Callithrix jacchus: one gene and its partners. The protein of the gene in region 3 interacts with the protein of the main gene of each other region in a pairwise test. Links are inferred from orthologs where the notes say so. Each region holds a gene or a part of one and is shown on either strand. Other genes may lie near its edges. The genes, in order: CARD9, UBQLN1, TRIM23, TROAP, GEM, MORN4 and BAG1.

Evidence for each region.
Region 1: the proteins of TRIM23 (region 3) and CARD9 interact in binary tests that used the Homo sapiens proteins (3 or more experiments, as listed by UniProt). The two-hybrid records come from large-scale screens. The link is inferred for Callithrix jacchus from reciprocal best matches to the Homo sapiens genes TRIM23 and CARD9.
Region 2: the proteins of TRIM23 (region 3) and UBQLN1 interact in binary tests that used the Homo sapiens proteins (3 or more experiments, as listed by UniProt). The link is inferred for Callithrix jacchus from reciprocal best matches to the Homo sapiens genes TRIM23 and UBQLN1.
Region 4: the proteins of TRIM23 (region 3) and TROAP interact in binary tests that used the Homo sapiens proteins (3 or more experiments, as listed by UniProt). The two-hybrid records come from large-scale screens. The link is inferred for Callithrix jacchus from reciprocal best matches to the Homo sapiens genes TRIM23 and TROAP.
Region 5: the proteins of TRIM23 (region 3) and GEM interact in binary tests that used the Homo sapiens proteins (3 or more experiments, as listed by UniProt). The two-hybrid records come from large-scale screens. The link is inferred for Callithrix jacchus from reciprocal best matches to the Homo sapiens genes TRIM23 and GEM.
Region 6: the proteins of TRIM23 (region 3) and MORN4 interact in binary tests that used the Homo sapiens proteins (3 or more experiments, as listed by UniProt). The two-hybrid records come from large-scale screens. The link is inferred for Callithrix jacchus from reciprocal best matches to the Homo sapiens genes TRIM23 and MORN4.
Region 7: the proteins of TRIM23 (region 3) and BAG1 interact in binary tests that used the Homo sapiens proteins (3 or more experiments, as listed by UniProt). The two-hybrid records come from large-scale screens. The link is inferred for Callithrix jacchus from reciprocal best matches to the Homo sapiens genes TRIM23 and BAG1.

The regions. Positions count from the first base shown.
Region 1 is NC_133502.1:184,840,937-184,844,081, reverse strand, and holds part of CARD9 (caspase recruitment domain-containing protein 9), read left to right. Parts: intron 1-1,795; coding exon 1,796-1,987; intron 1,988-2,375; coding exon 2,376-2,417; intron 2,418-2,754; coding exon 2,755-2,803; intron 2,804-3,145. UniProt on the Homo sapiens protein: Adapter protein that plays a key role in innate immune response against fungi by forming signaling complexes downstream of C-type lectin receptors.
Region 2 is NC_133502.1:99,347,301-99,350,800, reverse strand, and holds part of UBQLN1 (ubiquilin-1), read right to left. Parts: intron 3,474-3,500; coding exon 3,331-3,473; intron 606-3,330; coding exon 522-605; intron 1-521. UniProt on the Homo sapiens protein: Plays an important role in the regulation of different protein degradation mechanisms and pathways including ubiquitin-proteasome system (UPS), autophagy and endoplasmic reticulum-associated protein degradation (ERAD) pathway.
Region 3 is NC_133503.1:143,899,839-143,903,338, reverse strand, and holds part of TRIM23 (E3 ubiquitin-protein ligase TRIM23), read right to left. Parts: intron 1,375-3,500; coding exon 1,245-1,374; intron 716-1,244; coding exon 605-715; intron 1-604.
Region 4 is NC_133510.1:70,249,274-70,253,232, forward strand, and holds the start of TROAP (tastin), read right to left. Parts: upstream 2,801-3,959; 5' UTR 2,703-2,800; intron 2,449-2,702; 5' UTR 2,444-2,448; coding exon 2,300-2,443; intron 2,208-2,299; coding exon 2,015-2,207; intron 231-2,014; coding exon 73-230; intron 1-72. UniProt on the Homo sapiens protein: Could be involved with bystin and trophinin in a cell adhesion molecule complex that mediates an initial attachment of the blastocyst to uterine epithelial cells at the time of the embryo implantation.
Region 5 is NC_133517.1:32,950,508-32,953,883, reverse strand, and holds the end of GEM (GTP-binding protein GEM), read right to left. Parts: coding exon 3,262-3,376; intron 1,833-3,261; coding exon 1,555-1,832; 3' UTR 501-1,554; downstream 1-500. UniProt on the Homo sapiens protein: Could be a regulatory protein, possibly participating in receptor-mediated signal transduction at the plasma membrane. Has guanine nucleotide-binding activity but undetectable intrinsic GTPase activity.
Region 6 is NC_133513.1:90,442,125-90,446,146, forward strand, and holds the start of MORN4 (MORN repeat-containing protein 4), read right to left. Parts: upstream 2,801-4,022; 5' UTR 2,592-2,800; intron 1-2,591. UniProt on the Homo sapiens protein: Plays a role in promoting axonal degeneration following neuronal injury by toxic insult or trauma.
Region 7 is NC_133502.1:140,446,531-140,450,030, forward strand, and holds part of BAG1 (BAG family molecular chaperone regulator 1), read right to left. Parts: intron 1,592-3,500; coding exon 1,484-1,591; intron 639-1,483; coding exon 576-638; intron 23-575; coding exon 1-22. UniProt on the Homo sapiens protein: Co-chaperone for HSP70 and HSC70 chaperone proteins. Acts as a nucleotide-exchange factor (NEF) promoting the release of ADP from the HSP70 and HSC70 proteins thereby triggering client/substrate protein release.

The DNA of each region.
Region 1 (3,145 bases), on a different chromosome or scaffold from region 3:
CCCCTCCCCCCCTTCCCCTCCCTGCCATCTTCTTCCTTCCTTTCTCTTTCTTTTTTCTTTTCTGCTTTCTTTTTTTTTTTCTTTTTTGAGCCAGAGTTTCGCTCTTGTCACCCAGGCTGGAGTGCAATGGCGCAATCTTGGCTCGCCGCAACCTCTGCCTTCTGGGTTCAGGCAATTCTCCTGCCTCAGCCTCCTGAGTAGCTGGGATTACAGGCACGCCACACCATGCCCAGCTAATTTTTGTATTTTTAGTAGAGACGGGGTTTCACCATGTTAACCAGGATGGTCTCGATCTCTTGACCTCGTGATCCACCCGTCTCAGCCTCCCAAAGTGCTGGGATTACAGGCTTGAGCCACCACGCCCGGCCTCTTTTTTGCTTTCTTCCCTTCCTCCCTTCCTCCCTCTTTCTTTCTTTTTTTCCCCTTTAACATGGATCATAGGAAAGAACCTTTTTTTTTTTTTTTTTGCTTTTGTTTTATGAAAATGGAAGCCTTCTGTCTTGTTTTACCAGTAGCTTTTTTTTTTTTTTTTTTTACTTTTAATTTGTCTTACCAGTAGCTTTTTTTAATCTTGAAAAACAATCTTGGCTGGATGGGGTGGCTCAACCCTGTAATCCCAACAGTCTGGAAGGGCGAGGTGGGTAGATCACTTGAGGTCAGGAGTTTGAGACCAGCCTGGCCAGCATGGTGAAACGCTTTCTCTACTAAAAATACAAAAATTAGCCAGGCATATTGGTGGGCACCTGTAATCCCAGCTACTCAAAAGACTGAGGCAGGAGAATCACTTGAATCCAGGAGGCGGTGGTTGCAGTGAGCTGAGATCGTGCCACTGCACTCCAGCCTGGGTGACAGAGTGAGGCTCCATCTAAAAAAAAAAAAAAAATTTGACATGGTGGCCCACGCCTGTGGCCCCAGATATTTGAGAGGCTGAGGCGGCAGCAAGGACAGGGCTGTGTCTGCTTCCCAGGTCCCGTCCCAAGTCCCATTCTGAGGTTGTTTCTGATGGACACCATTGCTGCTTCAGCGAATGCTGGACTGTGGTTTGCCTGAATCAGGAGCCTTAAAACGAGACCCCTGGGGCCATAAAGGAAGCCCCTGCCCCCGAGAGAGAAGCTCAGGCTTGGAGCTCCTGTAGGGGCCCCACCACAGCCTCACTCACACCTAGCCCACCCCAAGTTGGAGAAGAAAGGGCAGGTTCAGCTGTGCTGCGTGGGGGTTGGGGCTGCTCCCGAGACAGGACCTCCCTTGGGGCTGTGCAGGGAGGGGGAGTGGGCAGGGATTAGGGAAGCTGAGTGGGCAGGCGTTAGGTGAGGCCCTCTCAGCCTCTGCTGCGTGGGTGGTCAGGCCGTCTTCTGTCTGCATGTTTGCTCCTGTGCCTCAGCGTCTGCGGCAGGGACAGGGATGGTAAAGCATGCTGCGTTCATGAAGGAGTTTTAGCTATGGAGGGTCAGGTTCTCCATATCAAGCTGCATCCAAAATTCATCCCGTGTGCATGTGTAGGGGTGCATAGCACACGCTGTGTCCACCGGGGGTGCAGGCATGGGAGGAGACAGAGGAGGGCTGCAGGGCCTATTCTGAGGGTGAGCCTTCCTTATATTGTTTTAAGTGTCACCTTTACAATCCCTCAAATGCTGGCTTCATGTCCGCAGAGCACAAAAAGGGAGGGACTGGGGCTGGCCACTGCAGCCAGCGGCTGGATGTCCTCGGGGCCTGTGCTGGGAGTTGGGTGGTCAGGCTAAGGACCCAGGGTGAGCTTGGGGCCTCACTGAGGGTTGGTCTTGCACTGTCCTGTCAGGCCATCGCCACACGGGAGGAGCTGCACACCCTGCACGCCCGGGGCCTTCAGGAGAAGGACGTGCTGCGCAAGCACGTGCGGGAGCTGGGCGAGAAGGCTGATGAGCTGCAGCTGCAGCTGTTCCAGCGTGAGGCGCAGCTCCTGGCCGTGGAGGGCAGGCTCAGGCGGCAGCAGCTGGAGATGCTCGTCCTGGTGGGCCTGGTGCATGGGGCAGGGAGGGGAGCTGAGGGGGTACAGGGCTCGGGGAGCATGGAGCCTCAGGATACCCTGGCCCTGGCCTTCCTTACCCAATCCTCCTCTGTGATGGGCCCCAACCTAACGGAGCCCCTCCTCGAAGGGGGGTGAGGGCAGAGGGGCAGATTGGGGCCCCAGTAGGAAGTGGGCTGCAGGGCTGGGGTGGGGCCTGGGCCTGGCCATCAGGTAGCCTAGCAGGTGGTTCTGTTCATGGAGGGGGTTGTTGTGGCTGAGGGCATGCCCAGGGCCCCCCGGAGGATCCCACTCTTGTTCCCTGTCCACTCCATGTCTGGGGAGCCCTAGGCCCTCACAGCCTGCCTACTCACCCCATTTTCTATGACCGCAGAGCTCCGACCTGGAGGATGGCTCACCTAGGAGCTCCCAGGAGGTGAGTGAGACCCCAGCCAGCATAGGGCTGCCCCTCCTTCACCTGAGCTGCCACCAGGCATAACCCCACACTTCCCGTCACATGGTCCTCCTTGGTGGCCAGGCTGGGTGGAGGAAGAGCAAGCAGCCACACACTAAGGCCTCCGACAGCTCAAAGGGTAAGGACAGTGCCCACCTCCTGGCACCCTCATGGCAGGACCTTCCTGGCTGGGTGCCTGAGTCGCTGAGAAGCTCTGTGCAGGGGGTGACAGCGATGGCCAAGAGCTGGGGTGGGCAGTGTGGCCAGGTCCAGTCCCTGGCAGAGGGGCCTAACAGGACATCTCGCTTCTCTTCCGAAGCTCTCGCTCCCCCAGGACCTGGAGGAGGACACCCAGCTCTCAGACAAAGGTGAGGAGGTGATGGCTGTGCACCCGGAGGCCTCCCAGCTGCCCCAAGCGAGGCCCATCTTCAGTGCAGGCAGCCGTGCGTGACACACGCCTGTCTCGGCCTCTACCACCCTCACTCCACAGATGGGGAAGCTGGGGCTGGGGGATAAGTAAAATGGACATGGCACCCAGAGAACAGACCAGAGTCCAGTTGGAACCCAGGGCCCTGGTTGGTGGGACAAGTGTTCCCTGTGGTGGGGAGTGTGGTGCCCCTTAGGGCAGCCCCCACGGTGCAGAGTCCTGCCTGCTCCAAGCTTCCTCTTGGGCAGAGAGAGGTGGCAATGAGCAAATGCCCAGGTGCACG
Region 2 (3,500 bases), on a different chromosome or scaffold from region 3:
ATCTCAAGTACTTGTTTATAACATAACCTTCCTTATATGACAACACTGACCATTTTAATCACTAATCCCGAGTTTGAGGAAATGAGATCTACCCCTTGGGGAAAAAAAGCATTCTATTAATTTGGAAGAAAACAACCTGTAAAATAGAATAGGGTAGCTCTTTCCTGTTACTCAAAATTAGTTAAACCATAAAGCGTAACATGACACAAGGAAGCACTTCAAAGTTAGTACAGTGAAAGGAAATGGTTTATGGTATTAACAAAGCATTCAAAATCCTAGGTCCTCAAAAGCAAAAACGAAATGGTTCTTTCCTCAGAATTTATGTTTGAGAAACATAAGCAAAAAGTCAGCAGTGAAATGGGACTCTGTTAAGATAGGGCTGAATTCTCTACGAATTGACAGCATTATCAGTCTCTATTCCATGTTTTGCTATCAGCCAGAGAAGAACAAGGAAAATGTTCATCATCAAATTTTTTCAAGCAAATCATTACCCAAGATAGCTAACATCTTGTCTTACTCACTTGTTGGAGGAAAGTTGGGAGCTGTTGTCTCATTTGTTCTTGAAGCTGAGGATTTCCAGCAAATAGGGGATTATTCAGCATCATCTATGGGGCAAGTGTTCAAACAATTTTTACTGGAAATATCTGAAACAAGTAATGTACCTTGTTTTATTCTACCTTCCCCCAAGTGCCTAAACTGGCACTTAAAAGGGAGGAAGGTAGAACATAAATAAAAAAGGAAAAGGGAAGATACTGTCCACAAGAGGGATCTCCAGAACAACAAAAACAAAAGCGATGCATCTTCTCTCTCAATGAGAATGGTGGTTATGGTAATGACATGCAATATCCTAAAAAATAAAAGCAATCATTTTCTTAGGCTTTTCCTTGAACAAAGGTCAATACTTGCCATTGAAAGAAAAATGAGAGTAACTGGCATTCATGAAGATATATTTTCTACTACACTGACAGAATAAACATAAACATCAATACATGAAACTATGTAACATGGCTTGCTTAGAAACCTCAACACACAAGTGGCAAGCACGAGAAAATCCAGATCTGAAAAGGACCACTACATCTACCTGCCTACTACAAAACTGCTAATATTAGGTCCAAAAAAATAACACCACAAAACAGCAACCAACTTGCCAGAGAAATGGAGCTGCTAGGTGAAAATCAGCCAGGCCTAGCACCAACAGTCCTCTGGGGAAAGTATTAAAATAATTTAAGACCTAAAAGATGTAAATCCATTTGAGAACACCAAGATTAGCATCTGGATTTCACCTCACTACCACCAGAGATGAGAAAAGTGGCATCTCCTAACCTTCAAATAAATGTTTAGAATTTAAAAATCAGAATCAGTATTAGTATGATGTCATATACCTGAAAATAAGATTAAAATACACAATCAGCATAACCAGAAACTAATAAATTCTCATAGCGTCAAAAGACACACTTTATATCATTTTCCCCAGAGTAAAAAGTCAACTAGCAAGGATTTACTGATAGCCTATTTACCTATCCAAAGTCTGGGGAGGAAATGATCCTCACCCTCAAGTAGTTAACCGTATTTAAGACCAATGTAAATGCTGGTAGAGAAAATTTGCCCCAATTCTTGCAAAGTGGATCTTTTAGTTAATTTTAATATAATAACCAAAGGAGAAGTCAGATGACCTTGCAGGAACATACATATTTATTTCAAAATGACCAATAAGTTCACAGAAAGTAATACCTGCTTAAGGTCAAGAAACCCGCTTCTGTAGTGGTTCCAGTTAAATACTTCTTTATTACAAACATATTAACAAGGTTATCACACATATCTTTTGGGAGTTACTTTATTTAATCTTAAAAAAGCATGTCATCTTAAATGTATTCATTCGCAGATGATCATCTCATTCATTAGGGTATTTCTTATAACTTACCTGAGTGCTTATACCACAAGTTTACACTCCAGACTCTTTGTAAATATTTAAAACTCAAAATAGAAAAACCACACATTTTAATCTGTTGATAATAAGAACGTTGTAATAGTTTTCTAAATTATGTGTAATAAGACATGCCAATCTAGTATTAGCAGCATTTTGCTTTAGAGTAAAAAAAACAGTATGTGAGTGCTCAAGTCACTTTACTACTATAATATTATTAAAAATTGCTAGGCATGTGCTTGTTAAAGTCAAATTTTAAAAGTACGATGCACATTCAGTATTAGCCAAATACACACTTAAAATGGCTATTACAGTAAACTAAGCCATTAACAACTCAGTCTGATAAGTTTCATATGAATAAATCAATTTTCCATAAAATGTACCTCCAATAAACAAAATCAAAGACACAAAAATTCTTCTTAAAATGTATTATTTCCAATTCCACAAATTTGGTGAGGGCTGAGAATTATACATCGAAGATACTTGAATCAATATACTTCTAGAATTTAGAAAATAAAAACCATTCATTTGACTTAAAACTTTTAAAATTTAAGGAATGGGATTAACTATAAAGTGTTTCAAATTCCTGACACACTACAGCAGTTGTTTCTAATAAACAGCAAATATAAACTACAGATGATCAAGGTTTATTTCATTCTCCGTGGTTTCTTAAGCCCTATGGTATGGAACCTAGACAGTACCTAGGGAACTTGAGGGGGAAGGGGTTTTCAGATGCAATTATATCAAAATCTCTAAGGATGGGGCCAAAGCATCAGAACTGTCTGTAAAGCTTCCCAAGTGTTCCTGAAAGTTCAGCAAACTTTGAGATCCCCTAATTTTCTTAGTTTTAGTCTCTTTAGAAACAAATTAGAAAAAGGAATACATTAATAAGGGATAAGCATACTATCTTCAGCAGGGGAATCAATAGTTGAAAGAATGAGAACATTGTTTTGACAAATTCCCATCTTTAATAAAGACTTCCTGCTATTTTACAACTGCCATTTTGAGCATGACTATTATAATCTTAGTGATCTACTAAATAAAACTATTTCAAATGTATTAACACTGCTATTACTTGCTTTCAAGATTAACATTTCATTAAATAGTGTATCTTCAAAAGAGAGGGCATTACAGCACTTTGTACTTGTCTCCTAACTCAACATATGTAGAAACAAAGTAAACCTATACCTCTTTCTAGTCAATGAATGACAGAGATAAAGTTGTTTTAATTATATATGAAGTATTTAATTACTACAAAGAAACACATGGTCTAAAAAAATTGGAGACACAGTTTACTTACTTTTCTAGTACATTAAGATATCATACACAACACAAATGTGCCAAAATCACAATTACTAGATTAGGTTCACATTGCACAGTCCTTTTCAATGCAAATACAAACTCACCTGTGCAGCAAGGTCAGGATTCTGGCTTAGTGACTGCATCATGCTTCTCATGTAGGGGGCAGACAACATGTTTTGCATAAGTTGTGGGTTTTCAGTTATTTGTTGCAACAAGCTCTGCATTCCTGGAGTGTTGAACATACTAGCTGAAAGTTTGTTTTAAAAAAAACAAA
Region 3 (3,500 bases):
GTACAAAGCAGGATAACATACAGAATAGGACGCATGAGTCTAAGCTTTAGGTTGGGGTCTCTGAGGCAAAAGTGTAGAATAGAACTCAAATGTGACTAAAACCTATGTAGAGTATATGATATAATACCATTTGGTCAAAAGCAAGCCACTGTAAGTTCTTTTGCAGGTAACAACTATTTATGAGAGAAATGTGGGAGTGGGGCTATTGTGAGATTATAATGGGATAAATGCTGAGTTTAACTGAATTGAACAGCAGAATCATACACCATAAACTCAACTCTATACCACTACATTGCCAGCAATCACACCCATATAATACTGATAATATACATTCTCTGTTAAGAGAAGCGAGAATACTCTTAACTGCCTATGTTTCTAAGCTACATCTGGTTTATTTCTGTAATAATGGTTTATCAGGAATAAACTAAAAGTACATATGCTAATTTTTCTACTTTTGTTTTTTACAAGATAAGGAACTAGCCACTAACACTTAAGTGTATAGTCAAGGATTTAATCATAAATATCAGCTTTGCTAGTCAAATCAGTACACTGAAAACTGTCATCCTAAAAATGTGAAAAATTAAATGTCATTTTAAACTCTCACCTTGAGTATTGAGGTAATAATGTTTCCACAATGGTCTTAATTTATGTTTTCCACCTACATCCCAAATAGTGAATTTTAGATTTTTATATTCTACAGTTTCCACATTAAAACCTGTTTTAAAAAAAAAGTTAACTTTTATACTATATTTACATTTACAATGAATGACACATCAAACACAGACAATCCCCCAGTGTATAATTGTGATTTATCAATTATCTATATGCAGCAATATCTACTGAAGCCTAATCAACCCCATTCCTACTTCTACATGGAGAGTGAATACCTGTAACAGCTGCTAGCCCTCTAAACCTCCACCAAGGTCCTTAGGACCTTGGGATCCATGTATCTTCCAGCTCTGTTGCACTACTGCCCCCATCCCCACACCCTCAGCCAGGATCACCAATCTTCTATTCCTTCAAACTGTCCCACCAATACTGTTTCTTCTTTTTATCCCCAACCACATTTCATTCCCATAGCCACACAATCTTGCATTTTTTCTCTCAGATGCTGATGTCTTAGAGCCAGAAAAGAGCCCAGCACCATGACAGATTAGTAACAAATAAGACCACAAGAACTCGGCTGTAAGCTAGGGTTTGTCTATTAAATGCCCTTTAAGGTAAAAACCAGTATTAATACTTACCAATTGTTGGAATGGGCTGCATGAATTCATCCTGTTTTAACTTAAACAAGATAGTAGTTTTTCCAGCACCATCCAATCCTAATGTAACCACCCGAATTTCCATTTTTGGTCCAATGTGAACTCGATTATCCTATAATTTAAATATTTTAAAATATTTTTAATTTGACATACAGTTATAAAGTAATAGCATTTAGCACCTTTATTATTTCTACATTTCCTGTTCATTCCTCAATCATTGCAATCTGAGTTGTATTCCTCAAAATCTTGAGTTTTATCTTAAGATGAATTCCTTCCCCATGGCTAAATCTTTCCTCAGTAAAACTGACCAGTTTGTCTTTGTATAACAGAATATACACAATTAATTTTCTCAGATTTTCTAACTCAAATGAAACCTCTTTAAATCTTATTTAAGCATGTTTTTATGCTATACTGAAACACCTTACAATAGGGCTAAATTAATTAAAATGAAAATTGCCGCTCAATTCCCAAAAATTTTCACTATGAATCTGATGTATATCCCTCCAGATACTTTCCCATGCACATACTGGCCAACATACAGAAACACAAGAAACTTTCTTTAAAAAGTATCAGCCACACTCTACAACTAATGTGTTTCACTCAACAGTATATTACATAATCCTTGCAATACATATGGACCAACCTTTTTCTTTTAATGGCTTCTTTACATTCCATAAACCACAATTTAATCAAACCCCCAACTGGTAGATTTTATGTAATTTCTGATTTTATGATATTACAAACAATACTATAATGAACATTTTTATTTATTACTAGCTGCATGATTTCTCTGCTTCCCTTCTTTCATAAAAGGAGGACTAAAATAATACAAAATTTACATAGGATTCTTGAAAGGATTAATTTTTAATGAAAAGTCCTTACAACAGTTGCCAACATATATGTGTTATTTCTGCTTATTCCTTTGAGCACTCTTTGCTTGGCTTTTATGATACAAAATTTCCCAGGTTTGGTTTTACCCCATTTTTGGATGCTCCTAATTTTTCCTTTATCTGCCTTTTAAATGTTGGTATTCTTGAGGGTCTGTATAAGGCCCCCTTCTCATTCTACATATTTTCATTCTCTTCACAAGCTTTAATTACCATCTACGCAACAGCTCCAAAGCTATACTTAAATCCAGTTATACACCTCAGAAACAATATATGGAAGAGAATTACTTCTATGAGAACTCTAGAGAACAGTTAAGAAGCTACAGCACCAGGCCATAAAACCAAAAAGGCATTCCAGTGAAAGGGGTAAGAAAATTCAGGGTATTCTGTGCACTCATCCCTGCCCTTCCCCATACCCCACATAGTTGAGGCTGAGGTGCAACCAGGAGGAAACTACAAAATACTAGCAAACTGAATTCAACAACACATTGAATTCAGTTTGCTAGTAAACTCAACCAAAAAACCATTTGGTACACCATGATCAAATGGGCTTTATACCTGGAAGGCAAGAATTATTCACCATCAATCAGTGTAATACATAGAATGAGATTAAAAAAACACATAATCATCTCAATAGTTGCAGAAAAAGCATTTGACAAAATTCAATACCCTTTCATAATAAAAACATTCAACAAACTAGGAATAGAAGGAAACTGCCTCAGTGTGACATACACAAGATATAAAATGCCCACAGCTAACATGTTACTCAAAAAACTGAAAGCTTTTTCTGTAAGATAAAGAACAAGAAGATGCCCACAGAGCGATTAGGCAAGAAAATAATAAAAGACATCTAAATTGTAAAGGAAAATGTAAAAGTATATCTCTTCACAGATGACATGATCTCGTATGTAGAAAATCCTGAAAAATCCACACAAAAACACCTATTAGAAAGAATACAGTCATGGAAATAAATATTTTGACACTTCAAACTATATTAATTTGATTGTAGTTTGCAGCGAGATAACTATTTCATTGAAGAAATCAGGAAGGATTAACATAATGTTCAGATTACCAATATTGAACATCAAAAGAATGTCAGCCAAACTGAGTAGCTGACTTCAAGTGACTTGAATTCAGGGAAACTGTGATCAGTTATGCTCTCGCTGTGGCAAATATAAATTTTTGTTGTTGTAGTGGTTGTGAAGGTGGCAGTTTCTGAAAGTGAAAAATAAAGGAAACTATCAAGAAAAAAAAAGAATACAGTCAACAAAATTTCAGGATATAAGATCAAAACAAAAATCAGTTGCATTTCTGTATACTTAAAAATCCAAAAAGGAAATTAAGAAAACAA
Region 4 (3,959 bases), on a different chromosome or scaffold from region 3:
GGACCATGAGCACAGCTCAGGATGCCCCCCTAAGAGCCCCCAGCCTGGTCCCCTCACATCGTGTTTCATTACCTGGCCCCTCTGGGTGGTGCCTCCCTGATTTCCTCGAATCAGTACTCTCTTAGCCAGACTAGGCTGGCGCCCCAGGTGACAGCTCTTCACACCCTCACCTGACAGGATGGTGGCCAGGGCTGCAGGATCAGCCACAAACTCTATGGCCCCTGCAGCCTCTGCAAGGAAAGAGGAGAAGGAAAGGTGAGAAAGAACAGAAAGGGGAGGGCAGAGGGACCCTAGCAAACTCACCTTGATTTTGGCATTTTTTTTTTTTTAGAAATAGATGGCTGGGTGCAGTGGCTCACACCTGTAATCCCAGCATTTTGGGAGGCCAAAGCAGGAAGATTACCTGAGTTCAGAAGTTCAAGACCAGCCTGGCCAACATGGTAAAACCCAGTCTCTACTAAAAATATAAAAATTGGCTGGTGCAATAGCTCACGCCTGTAACCCCAGCACTTTGGGAGGCCGAGGGGGTGGATCACGAAGTTAGGAGTTCAAAACCAGCCTGGCCAAGATGGTGAAAATACAAAAATTAGTTGGGTGTAGTGGTGGGCATCTGTAATCCCAGCTACTTGGGAGGCTGAGGCAGAGAATTGCTTGAACCCGGGAGGCAGAGGTTGCAGTGAGTCGCGATTGCGCCACTGCACTCCAGCCTGGTCAACAGAGAGAGACTCCATTTCAAAAAAAAAAAAAAAATTAACTGCGAGTGGTAGGTACCCGTAATCCAAGCAACTCTGGAGGCTGAGGCAGGAGAATTGATTGAACCCAGGAGACGGTGTTTGCAGTGAGCTGACACAGTGCCAATGCACTCTAGCTTGGGTGACAGTGAGACTCCATCTCAGAAAAATAAAAAACAACAAAAAACAAAAATTAGCCAGGCATGGTGGCAGGTACTCAGGGGAGGCTGAGACATGAGAATCGCTTAAACCTGGAAGGCAGAGGTTGCAGTAAGCTCAGATTTCACCACGGCACTCTAGCTTGAGGAATAGAGTGAAACTATCTCGAGAAGAGAAGAGAGAAAATAGAGTTAGGGTCTCACTATGTTGCCCAGGTTGGACTCAAACTCCTGAGCTCAAGTGATCTTACTGCCTCGACCTCTCAAAGTGTTGGAATTACAGCGTGAGCTACCACACCTCGCCACCAAATGTTTGTAAAATGTTACATAAGACATTATTCTAAGCACTGGGGCCCCAAAAGAATAAGACAAAGCCCCTATCCTCAAGAAGCTATCATCAAACTATAGACTGATAACACTCAAGCCAAGGTATATACATGTTATAAAAGAAGTACTGCAAAGTATTAAGAGAACACAGAGCAACTGATTATGATGTGGGGAACTGGAAAACTCTTCAGAAGAAATGACTTTTTTTTTTGATACGGAGTTTCGCTCCTTACCCAGGCTGGAGTGCAATGGCGCTATCTCGGCTCACTGCAACCTCTGCCTCCTGGGTTCAGGCAATTCTCCTGCCTCAGCCTCCTGAGTAGCTGGGATTACAGGCATGTGCCACTATGCCCAGCTAATTTTTTGTATTTTTGGTAGAGACGGGGTTTCACCATGTTGACCAGGATGGTCTTGATCTCTTGACCTAGTGATCCACCCGCCTCGGCCTCCCAAAGTGCTAGGATTACAGGCTTGAGCCCCCGCGCCCGGCTGACTCTTTTTTTTTAAGAGATGGGATCTCCCTCTGTCTCCCAGGCTGGTCTCACTCCTGGCCTCCAGTGATCCATCAGCTTCAGCCTCCTGAGTAGCTGTGATTACAGCCACAAGCCATCACACCTGGCAAGATGACATTTTGCTGGAGGAAAGCGAGGCCTTATAAGAGCAAAGAGCTTTCCAGGAACTGGGACCAGGACTATTACAGTAAGCAGGAGTGAGTGCAAAATCCCAAAACCCCACTTTTACTCTTCCTAGTTCCCTACTCAGCCATGGAGGCTGTGGTCCCAGGGCTCCAACAGGTACCTGTCTGGGCAGGGGGCCCAGGCCCCACATTTTGACCCCCGGGACTAGGCCTGAGCTCCTCCAAGGGGTTTCGATGCTGAGTGGTCCCCACCAATCTTCGTGATGTCTCTGCTTGGTGCTTGGCTTTCGGCCTGGAGCCTGCTGAATCAACGTGGGGGTGTTGAATATTGAGCGGTTGTTTCTGCACCCATCTCTAGGGAAGGGAGGGGGGACAAAAAGGTGGGGTTTAGAATTAGGGCACATTACTGGTGTGACTATCGTCTTCCCCTACTAGGCCCCTCTTACCCTTGGATCTTGGTTCTCCTGGTCCAAGACGCGCGATGTAACAGTGGGTAAAGGCGTGCGTCTCTGAGAGAGTACCGGAATCTTGCTAGGGGTAGGAGATACACCCCGGAGGAGGGGATCCTTCGTGGCTTGCAGGGTGGTCATGATGGCTACAATTGAGACAGGGAAGAAGGCAGGCAGAATCGGAGATCAAAGATCAACCAGTCCTCGGGGCACCTGTCCTGCCATCCCTGATACCTCTGCCCTAATCCCCGCTCCCACAAGCCTCCGGCCCTTGCAAGACCGCTCTAATGGGCGCTACCTCCAGACACCCCGAGCCTACTGTTTCGCCCTCGGGTCCCGAACTGCCCTCCTCCCTCTGAGCCCAGCAGCCCTCGTTCTCTCAAAGAACCCTGTGCCTCACCTTCTCGAGAGCCCCTCAGAGCCGACTCAGCCTTCTCAGCTTTTCCCTCGACTTTCAGCTACTGCAGGCTACAGCTACTTCCCCAGTTTGTAAAATACGCCAAGCTCCTGATTGGCCCGGCCGCGCTCCCTCGGAGGCGCGTGTAGCCGGAATCAGCCGTCCAATCCGCGGGCTTCGCAGGAAGGGCCAAAAGAAGGACCAGTTGTCGAACCACTTTCTGGCCAGGAAAAAAAACTGCCTCGGCTCAATCAGCCAATCCGAAAGCGGAGCGCGGCTGGAAGGCGGGGAAAGAGGAAGGATGGGGCTGTTCTGAGGCCGGGAAAGGCGTAGCCCTCTGAGTAGAGTAGTCCGCCGGAGCGGTTGTGTTCTCGCGATGCTTCGGGACCGGCGAGGGGCCGACTATTGGCAGCAAAGGGCCATCGCAGCATTAGGGGAACAGTTGATCGTTCTGATTGCAGCTAACGGTGCTGCAGGCTGGCCCGAGCCCCCGACCCGGTTTGACCAAGGCATGGCGCCAAGCTTTGGGAACGCCATTCCAGAGGCTCATAGAAAACCTCTGCGTCCGCGCGCGTTGGTCCTGTAATCCCAGCACTTTGGGACGCCAAGGCGGGAGGATCTCTTGAGCTATAAGTTCGAGACCAGCCTGGGCAACATAGTGAGACCACCCCCACCCGTGTCTCTATAATAATAATAAATATAATAACAAAGTAATAATAGTCCCAGTGCAGTAGTGTGCGCTTGTAGTTCCAGCTGCTCTGGACGTTGAGGCAGGAGGATTGTTTTGAGCCCAGGAAGTTGAGGCTGCAGTGAGCTGTGGTCGCGCCACTGCGCTCCAGCCTGGTCAACAGAAAGAGAGAGAGAGACCCTGTCTTTAAAATAAACAAATAAACAAACAAAGAGAACATCTTCACGTTGTCTCCAGGATAAGGAACTGCCTTCAAATGGGCAGAGAAGGCTGGAGGGAATCCAACTGAGCCTAACAACATGTGCTCCTTGGAGCCTCAGAACCCAGTGAGGTGTCTGGTGAGGTTTTCTTCATTTCACGGAGAGGAAACAAAACTAATTGTTTTTAAACTCAGTTACCACAGCACCAGAATTGAATGGCTACTCACAGCTGGGGGTTTCCTTGCCTCCAGGTTGCCTTTTGCCGATCTAGAGGTCTTGGGAGAGAGGGCTCACCTGATGATTATTGGTGGGCAGGGCTGGGAGGCTGAGAGATCCTAGAATATCCTCCTTAAGATGAAAGGAGCAACCCCT
Region 5 (3,376 bases), on a different chromosome or scaffold from region 3:
CAAGTGATTAATGTCAAGCTGTATTAATGTCAGAGGGGAGAATTTGGTGAAAGCTTTGCCTGGCTAGATCTCAGGCTGGAAATCACTAGTCTCCTTTATTTTATTTCCCCCTTATCCTTTATAACTTCCTCTAATGCCTTAGTCAAGCTGAAGACCATGAGCCTCCAGGGAGCAAAGTGAGGCCCATCTGTTCAGTCAGGCATGTGCCAGACCAAAATAAAAGGTCAATCTGGCTTTTCCTATAACTTAGCATTGAGATAACCCCAAATACTTTCCAATGGTATCAGCCAAAAATAACTTTGCATTATCATGAATTGTGATTTCAGAGCAGAGCTGTCAGGGATACTCTTTAAAACAGATGATTACTGGGCTATTGCTAGTGAGAAAAGGAAAAAAAACAATAGGTATATGTCTCTTTGGAATATACCATATGTGCTTGCTCTAAAGGCTGCAGAAGAATAATCTTAATCATCTTGCTTGGGAGGAAAATCAATCAAGAATGCCTTTTTCCAAATATTTTATTTCTTTTATTATAAGACATATAGGTAAAAACTTGCATATTTTGAAAAAGATAGAAAATGGTAATAAAATGGATATTTTTCTTATTAAGAAATATGTTCATAAATATGCTTTATCAAATGTTAAAATGATTATTTTGCAAAATAATAATAAATAGAGCAGAGCTGTGGCATACAAGGGTCAACCAAAGTACTGGAATTTTTTATGCTATATGTTTTATAAAAATTCAGACTTTGAATTATACATTAAAAATTGACATTTTACACTCTAGGGTATCAATAATTCTGATTTTTATGATGGCTCCATGAATTCAAAAATAACAAAACATAAAAGGTGGTTTGACAAAATAGAATCTGATTCAAATAATTTACCCCTAAATAAGAAATTGTAAGATATATAATTTTTGAGCCTATAAGGGTACATGTATCAGTTCCCAATTCTACAAGTATTGGTGGACATTGAAAAAAACTGTTTGCTAAGCCTCAGTTTCCAGCAAGGTCCACATCATTTCTTTTCACAGTTTGATGGAGCAGTAATAGTCATGATTCTGATGAGCTTAGTTCTACAATTCTAGCTCCAAGGATCTTAGATACATAGAAAGTTTTCCCCCCTTTGAATAAACTCATTGACAGCTTTCTTATATTTGTTTATGACCCAATGGCCTCAAAGTCACATATCAGAACACTGGGCAAAATTTTAATGATGAAAAGTTCTTGTTCTAGGCATTCTTTGTAAGCTTTACTTCTCTACTATCCAAAAGAGAAGAAACACATGAGAACACCAAACACATCCTCTAATGAGTCTTGGATGTTCAAATAGCAAGGTCAGGCTTTTCCTGGAAATAAATACTGACTCTTTACAAAGATCTTTCATTTCCCATGCATCATGTGGCCCAAGAGGCTAATACACTAGCTCCCTGCTACAATGGGGGAAACCACATCTAACAATACTTAAGTATCCAATCTAATATAGATTATTAGTCCCAATGGCCTTCAACAATGTCCATCAAAGGGACATTTGGGTAACTCTCGGTTCCTAGAGCACAGAGAGGTCATGGCAGGATTTGGACTTGAGCTTGAAGGCCATATTCTTGTTGTTTTTGGCCACAATCTTGCCCCAGAAGCGCCTGGCTTTCCTGGGCATGCTCTCCTTCCTCTTCTGGTAGGCCAGCCGCCGCTCGTTCTTCTCCTTGCTGTCCCGCCGAAGGCGCACCTGCCGCACGATGCCCTCAAACAGCTCCTTCACGTTGTGCTGGACAGCCGCAGAGGTCTCGATGAACTTGCAGTCGAACACCACAGCGCAAGCTCTTCCTTCTGGGAAGCAAAGGAAGGGAAAGAGGTCAGAGGGGCTGCAGAGCACAGTCCTGCACAGCACACAGTCAAGCTGGATGGTTCTTCAAGGTAACACTAAGTCAGTCATATATGCAGTGGATAGAGGACGCCACTGTGGCATGGGCCTTCCCAGGGCATGAATAGAAAATATCTCACTGGAGGATCCCTGGAAGCAAGCACTATGGGCTTTAGACCTGGTCCACAACGAATTCACTGTCTGAAGGTTCCATTTCATCAAATACAGTGATATTAGTTATAACAGTAAAAGCCATAGCCTTAATTTACTGCAGACTTACAATGTGCCAAAAACAAGGCTTAGTTCTTTGTAAACACTGTTTTCAATGTCCACAACAATCTTGGAAAATACATTACTAGCCCCATCAAATACATGAAGAAACCAAGGGGAGCCCCCTGCAGGTGAAGTTTACACAGCCTGTAAGTGGCAGTGATGCCGGGCCTGCTCCATTCTCAAGCCCATACTCTTAACTCTTTCTCCTGACCCAGTTTCCTGAATTGAGAATAAGAATTCTACTATTTGGCTTTCCTCTCCTGAAAAAAAAGCAATGATGAGATATCTTTGGAAAAAATTGAGAATTTTACAAATGTGTAATTCAATTAGAGCAAATTATACAAGCCTTTCTGAGACAGTCTCAATTCTCAATTTCAAATATTTCATTGTGTTTAATGATCATGCAGCAAGATTTGGTTTGGGAAAATACTGTCGACAGTTGTTCCTAGTAGGAAGACATTCCCAAACTAATGTGTACATTGCCTCTATTAGCATGTACGTGGTCTTTCCTCCTGAGCAGTGCCTGGCAATGCAGTATTTTATTTTTATAATTGTATCAGGGATCAAGTCTGAATTAGGCCAGTAAAATCTCAAGGGCTGTAAAAGCACCTGGGTGCCCGCTCAGCAGACAGAGATTTTCCCTGAACTAAGTATGAAGAAGAATATGTGACACCATCAGACTGATGCTTTAACTGAAATTTCAGAAGCCAGGGATGCGGAGTAGGACAGTGTTTCTAGGGTGTACAGGGACCAGAGTCAGCCAGAGTAGAATTCTTTTTCTTCAATGAAACTCTTTCTCATGGTTCTCCTAAATCAGAGTTTCCTATCCTTCCTGCATGAAGAAGCTCCTTTCATTTCCCTGTACTCTTGGGAATTCCAGGAAACCGCTTGGAAGCAGGAAGATTAGCACCCTGCAGGTAGACCACATGGACAAGGGAGAGCAACCAGTGTGGAGGAGACCCATTGCAGCAGTAGGAGACTTAGAAATACACCTAAAATTTCATATAGCATCTTAATGAGTTCCTGGATCCAGCCTCCCAGAAGGAAGGAAGAGCCCTTGACCAAAGGAAAACACACGTGGCCCAGAGATTGTTTCTACGGTACTGGCTCTACTCCTCTTACCTGATACAGACACTTCCCGGCACCGGACTAAGTCACTTTTGTTGCCAACCAAAATGATGGGAATGTCCTCTGTCTGCCGGGCCCTGCGGAGCTGGATTCGCAGCTCAGATGCCTT
Region 6 (4,022 bases), on a different chromosome or scaffold from region 3:
GTCACAAGCCAAGATGATTCACACTTCTAAACAGACACCCACCCTTTCTGCACTCCTGACAGATGGGTTGCGAAAGATCAGTCCAAACATTTACATAAAAGAAAATTACTGGCTGGGCGTGGTGGCTCACACCTGTAATCCTAGCACTTTGGGAGGCCGAAGTGGGTGGATCATCTGAGGTCAAGAGTTCAAGACCAGCCTGGCCATCATGGTGAAACCCCATCTTTAAAAAAAAAAAAAAAAAAGCCGGGCACAGTAGCTCACACCTATAATTCCAGCACTTTGGGAGGCCGAGGTGGGTGGATCACGAGGTCAACAGATCAAGACCATCCTGGTCAACATGGTGAAACCCCATCTCTACTAAAAATACAAAAAATTAGCTGGGCATGGTGGTGCATGCCTGTAATCCCAGCTACTCAGGAGGCTGAGGCAGGAGAATTGCCTGATCCCAGGAGGCGGAGGTTGCGGTGAGCCGAGATCGCACCATTGCACTCCAGCCCGGGTAAGAAGAGTGAAACTCCGTCTCAAAAAAAAAAAAAAGAAAAGAAAAAGAAAATTATTATTATGTCCCTATAAACCAATACACTATTAGTCTGCACTATAGACCACATTCTTGCTACTTTTATTTTCTTCTGCCCCAGACCTTTCTTTTTTTATTTTCTTATTTCCAAACAGAACTCTGAGACAGTAATGAGAATTTTTGTTTCCATTCTTTTTATCTTTTTCTAATTTTAAGAAATCAACTTATTAAAGAACACTTTGTATTCACAGTAACCTGTGTCCAATTTAAGAGGATTTAAAAGAAAAAAAAAAAATAACATAAAGAGGAACAGGGCCAGGCCTGGTGGCTCACTCCTGTAATCCCAAAACTTTGGGAGGCCAAGGCAAGAGGATTGCTTGAGCCCAGGAGTTCAACACCAACCTGGGAAATGTAGTGAGACCTCATCTCTACCAAAAAAAAAAAAAATTAGCCAGATGTGGTGGTGCATGCCTGTAGTCCCAGCTACTCAGGAGGCTGAGGTGGGAGGACTGCTTGAGCCCAGAATTTGAGGCTGTGGTGAGCAGTGACAGCACCACACCTGCACTCCAGCCTGGGCAACAGAGCCAGACCTTGTCTCAAAAAAAAAAAAAAAAAAAAAAAGTTGAGGCAGTGGTGTGGGGAGATCCAGTTAGAGAATATTGTTTGGAGGCAGCCACCCTAACTACCCACATATACCTTCACACTGTCCCCACAAAACCACCCTTCCCAGGGTACAATAGTCTTGTCAAATTACTTCAGTAATAAAGAAAGCAGTTCATAGGCTTTTAGAATCTTAAAGAGGAGAAAATGGAGGCTTTGATAAACAAAAATTAGCATTGTTAGGAACCTCGAACAAAAAGTCAACTATTCTATTTATTTATTTATTTTGAGACGGAGTCTTGCTCTGTCACCAAGCTGGAGTGCAGTGGCCCAATCTGGGCTCACTGCAATCTGCGCCAGTCGGGTTCAAGCGATTCTCCTGCCTCAGCCTCGGGAGTAGCTGGGACTACAGGTATGCCACCATGCTCAGTTAATTTTTTTTATGTTAGTGGAGACAGAGTTTCACCATGGCCAGGATGGTCTCAATCTCTTGACCTCACCCCGCCTGGAGCAATCTTGGCTCACGGCAACTTCCGCCTGCTGGGTTCAAGCGATTCTCCTGCATCAGCCTCCCAAGAAACTGGGGATTACAGGCATGAGCCACCATGCCAGGCGAATTTTGTATTTTTAGTGGAGACAGGATTTCTCCATGTTGGTCAGGCTGGTCTCGAACTCTCGAGCTTAGGTGATCCGCCCACCTCGGCCTCCCAAAGTGCTGGGATTACAGGCTAAATATTCTTTTTCAAGTGTTTAAAATGAGCTCGAAATAACTGTTTTTTATTATAAGTCTAACCTCCTCTTTCCCCTTGTGAAAAGTAAACAAATGTATATCGTTGCTAATTGAAGAAAGTGGGAAGAAGATACTGGCGCCAAAAAGAATGTTAAAAAAAAAAAAAAAAAAAAAAAAGGCGATGATGACCTGGGGGCAATTGGGACTAGGGAGCAACACTGCCAGAATCCTATCCTATTTCAGGGGAAAAGGAATGCCTGGGCTGGGCTCCGTTACAGCAGTTATTCCTGCTGGTACCTAAGCAGTTCAGAGATGCTAGACTGCAGGAATACCACCCATCAACAAATTAAAGCAACCCCTTCCCCAGGTTTCCATATGTGGGAGTTCTCTCCACCAGTGCGACAAAGGCGGGCCCTGGGAAAACAAAGCCCTAGACCACAACAAAGCAACACCCTCTCGCGCCCCATTTTCGCGTTCCAGCCAGGCTCCTTTCCGCTACCCGGGCCCGCTCTCCCGCCTGGCAGGTATAACGCTCACACGGGTCTGCCATTCCCCGACTCAGCCTCGCAGCCCCTGCGCGCCAACCCGACTGCCGTGGACTCTTCTGGGCCTCGACCCCCGCGGTGGAGACTAAAGGGTCTAGGTTTGTGTCCCACACAGGCAGCTGCCCTCGGGTCAGCGTATCCGAGATGGACCGCGCCCCCCAGCCGGGTCATCTCGTGCTAGTTCCTCAATGCCCACCTGGCCGATTACAGTCTGTCTCGGCACCCTCCCTCCCGCGCCGCGCCTGCAGCCAACCTGGGGCCGGCCTTTCGGGATGACCGTCACGCCTCGACGCAGGGCTCCAGCGCCTCGGACTTTTCCTGGGCTCCCGGCTGCCACCTTGCTCTCTGCCACCTCCACCAGCACTTGCCCCACTTGACACCGCCATCCCGGCCACCGCACTGGGCACAATCCCCGCTGCCCATTGGCTGTTACCTAGGCAACCGCGAGCAACGCCACACTCCATTGGCCCAGCCCGTCTCCGCGCCATCTTTGTGCGGGGCGGAGTGTTTGCGAGCCGGGGCTGACTTTGTGCAAGAGAGATGGTCCCACCTCTGCAAAGCAGATAAAGACAGAGGATCGAGGTCTGGTCTACCAGAGGCCGTCTAGTTGAAATGGCAACCCAGAGAAAACCATACCTGCGCCCGAAGCAACAGTGACCATCAACGCTAACGGCTCTGATCCTGCTCCAGTCCCTACTGCTGTCAAAGGCCCCGCCGCGGAGTTTAAGGCAGATTCTAAATCCAGCTTCAGAGAAGCAGCTTTGTAAATTGTAACGCGCTGGACAGAACAGCCTCCAATAACTCTGTGCCAGACATTGTGATATCGAGACACGTTTGCATTCATTATAGGAATTCGTGCTGTCCTTGTCATTACCTAGATCCTTTGTGTTTAAAATATAGTACCTGGCCAGGCGCAGTGGCTCACATCTGTAATCCTAGCACTTTGGGAGGCCGAGGCAGGAGGATTGCTTGAGCCCAGGAGTTCCAGATCAGCCTGGGGAATACAGGAGACTCCGTATCTGCAGAAAAAAAAAAATTACCCAGCCTGGTGGTGGGTGGCTGTAGTCCCAGCTACTCAGGAGGCTGAGGTGGGAGGATCCCTTGAGCCCAGGAGGATGAGGCTGCAATGATCCTGCCACTGTACCCTAGCCTGGGCAACCTAGCAATCTCAAATAAATACATACATAAATTGCAAACCAAAAAGTATCTGAGACAGGTCTCAATCAATTTAGAAGTTTATTTTGCCAATGTTAAGGATATGAGAGTGACACAGCCTTAGAAGGTCCTAAGAACACGTGTCCAAAATAGTTGGGCTACTGCATGGTTTTATACATTTTAGGGAGACATAAAACATCAATCAATACATGTAAAATATACATTGGCTTGGTCCCAAAAGGGGTCTGGGGATGGCAGCTTCCAGGATGTAGGTGGATTCAAAGATGTGCTGATTGGCAATTTGTTGAAAGACTAAGACCTGGAACCCAAAGAAGGGAATGTCTGGATTAAATTAAGGAGGTTGTTACTAAGATATGCACACACACACACACACACACACACACAGAGTTGCAGAAACCACAAGTTGTGAAAACCAAGGTTTTTATTATGCAGAGACGCCTCCAGGTAGCAG
Region 7 (3,500 bases), on a different chromosome or scaffold from region 3:
TGTCACACTCGGCTAGGAATGCCTAGAAAATACACATGGGGCAGTGAGGGCCCATCCTGGGATAGCCAACCACTGCCCACACAAGGCTCTTTGCCTAGACATTCTGGGGAACCCATGACTGAGACCCAAAACAGACTGTGCATGAATGGAGATGGGCAACTAGCCTGGGCTCCAAGGTAAGGGGAGGGAGGAAGCATAGGACCAGGGTCTCTGACCACGCTCTAGGCCAGCAATCCCCTAAAAGGTGGGAAAGGCCACAAAAGCTTTGCCGCGAGGCCACTGAACAATTGCAGGGGGCACTGTATGCATGAATACTGCCTCCTGGAATTGTGTAACGTGTCAACTCTGTCTGCTCTCCAGTGAGTTCCCTCCCTAAATAGTTTAAATTCAAATATAATTATAGGGATATAGGGGGCTCTTCTCTGATGTTTGGGGTCCTTGCTGATAAATGAACAATAACCAAAACAAGCACATACCACACACCATCCTTCTATATTACTCGACTTTGAACAGATAAACACACATACCAACATATTAACATATTACACTTTGTCATGCACTATGACACAACTCACCTGAACCTTTTTTACCAAGCCTTTCCTTTTCAATCTACTGTCTTTGAAATTTTCTGGCAGGATCTATGGAAGAGTAAGTTGACACATAAATAATCCTCAGTGAAAATGACATGAGAACACATAAGAAACACCCACAGTACATAAAACGGGTCACAGGTCACCAATGTAAATAAACGTGCATTTTCAAGAACGCCTTCCCTGGGTCTGTATCCCATATGGCCCTTCCATGGCTCTTGTCCCTATAAAAGCTCCCTCTGTTCTCAACGTCTGGGCCATAGGAACAGATCTGTAACACAGACTTTGTTCTTTTATTGTTTCCTATGTATGGATACTCTGCCCTGGCCAGACTGTGGGCTCACTGTGACAGGAAAAGTGCCTGCTGCTGCTGCTTTACAACTCTGGCCAACAGAAGCACACAGCACAGGTCACCGTCAAGAATGAAACATCAGGCTAATATCATACTACTATCTGCAAAAGAGAACCTGAGTTAATGGTTTTCAACAGCCTGATAAGATCTGGGTCTGGCTGAATCCTCTATAAGTAAGTAGCCCTGCAGAATGATCAGTCACATGAGGAGCAGAGAAAGTGAAGTCCTCTGTTTCCTTGACCACGAGATTGTGGACTACTTGGGTCCCAGCTTCATGTTGATTAGAGATGCTACTGACAAACATAAGTATAAATGATAAAAGTCCTATGCTGGAGGGCTGTGAGTGCCTAGAAAGCAGGAACTGTCTTATTATTGTGCACTCACCCAGGACCTAGCAATGTGATGGCACACAATAGTATATGCTTAATATTCTCAAGTGATGGGTTTGCTCAGGCAATAGGAGAGTACATTATTGAAAGAGTGAAAGTGACTGAAAGAAAGTCAAAGAAAACTAGTTCTTCTCAGCTGAATATTTACTTACCAGTGTGTCAATCTCCTCCAAGATCTTCATAAATTGCTCTATTGTGGCTTTTACTTTCCTATCAAGTTTGCAGAGAGCTTCAGCTTGCAAATCCTTGGGCAGAAAACCCTGTGGGGGAATAATGCATTATTGCAAGGGTTCTTTGAGGCTGATAGAAAATTCCACGCTGCGATACTAATGAAGCGACCACACTGAGTCCAACACAGCCCTGGCAGGCCAGGTAACATGTCAGATCCACAACTTCATCTCTTGGAAAAATTATAAAGGCTGGCCTTGGGCCAGTCTAAGAATTCTATTGGGTTGTAGTCTGCTCTACCTCACATGACGCACTGTGGCTGCAAATGCCTCCTGAGGCTTGGCTCCAGTGAAGCCCCTAGTCACAAGTGTATACCAGCACACAAGAGGCAGATGTTAAAAGCACAGGCTTAGAGTCTTCAAAGCCTAGGTATGAATCCCGACTGCCACTGACTAACAAGTATTCTTGAACAAATTACTTAAGACTATTCATGCCTCAGTACTCTCATTTAAAAAAAGAAGATTATAATACCCACACCCTAGAGGGTTACTGCGAGGCAAAGGGAATATATGTATATGTGTAATTAACTTGTGGCACAGACACATGCTAACGAATGGCAGCAGTGCTTACTTTTATTAAATTGTCTAATGGTTCATTCATACAGCTTGGCCTAATGACCAGTTACCTGCTGGATAGCAGGGATCTCTGAGGATGTTTATCACGGCCAAGAGCTACAGATATAGATTTCATAACATGTAACAAGAGCTTTAAACATCACCCAGCAATTTCAACTCAAAGAATTTATTCTACCAAAAAATCAAGAACAGTCAAAAAAGATTTATGTCTAAGGATATTCAAAGAAGCATTACACAAAATACTAAAAATAATATTACATAATGAATAATACAGAATTGGCAAGGTAAATGAAACATTTATATAAGATGAAATGCAAGCTTTGAAAAGTACCATCACAGGAAAATGTTTAATTTTTTTTTCTTTTAGTAGTAGATGAGAAAATGTTTAATTTTTTATCCAATAAAAGAATAATTTACAAAGCATACATAACATAGCAAAAAAAATTTTTTTTTGTTTTTTTTCTTCCCATCCTCCTTCTGGCCCAAAATTTTTTTTTTGAGAGGAAGTCTCTCTCTGTCACCTAGGCAGGAGTGCAGTGGCACAATCTCGGCTCACTGCAACCTCCACCTCCCAGGTTCAAGTGATTCTTCTGCCTCGGTCTCCCAAATAGCTGGGATCACAGGCGCCTGCCACCATACTCAGCTAATTTTTGTATTTTTAGTAGAGATGGGGTTTCGCCATGTTGGCCAGGCTGATCTTGAACTCCTGACCTTCGGTGATCCACAAGCCTTGGCCTCCCTAAGCGCTGGGATTATAGGTGTGAGCTATTGCGCCCGGCCTATACCAAATATTTTTTTAAGATGAAAAATACATTTCAGGCTTTGGTAATGTCATCTCTGAGTTAGGGCCTCGTGGGTAATTTTTATTTTCCATATTAGTGCCTACACATGTACTTAAAACTTTTGTACAGTCAGCATGTATTCTGTAGTTAAAACACAAACATATAGGCCAGGAGTGGTGGCTCACTCCTATAATCCCAGCATTTTGGGAGGCTGAGGCAGGCAGATCACTTGAGCTCAGGAGTTTGAGACCAGCCTGGCCAACATGGTAAAACCCCATCTCTATTAAAAATACAAAATAATTAGATGGGTGTGGTGGCAGGCAGAGCCGAGGCTGAGGCAGGAGAATTACTTGAACCCGGGAGGTAGAGGTTGCCAGTGAGCTGCTGAGATCACGCCACTGTACTCCAGCCTGGGTGACAGAGTGAGACTCTGTCTCTAAATAATAAATAAATAAATGCCAAAACACAAACACACACCAATTAATGTTACAAAATGAGAGAAAAAAAGAAATATGTGGTCTTGAGCTAGTCCTAATCTGTGCTGGGTTTTAGTACCCCATCTCTAATATAAAGAATTGAATAGG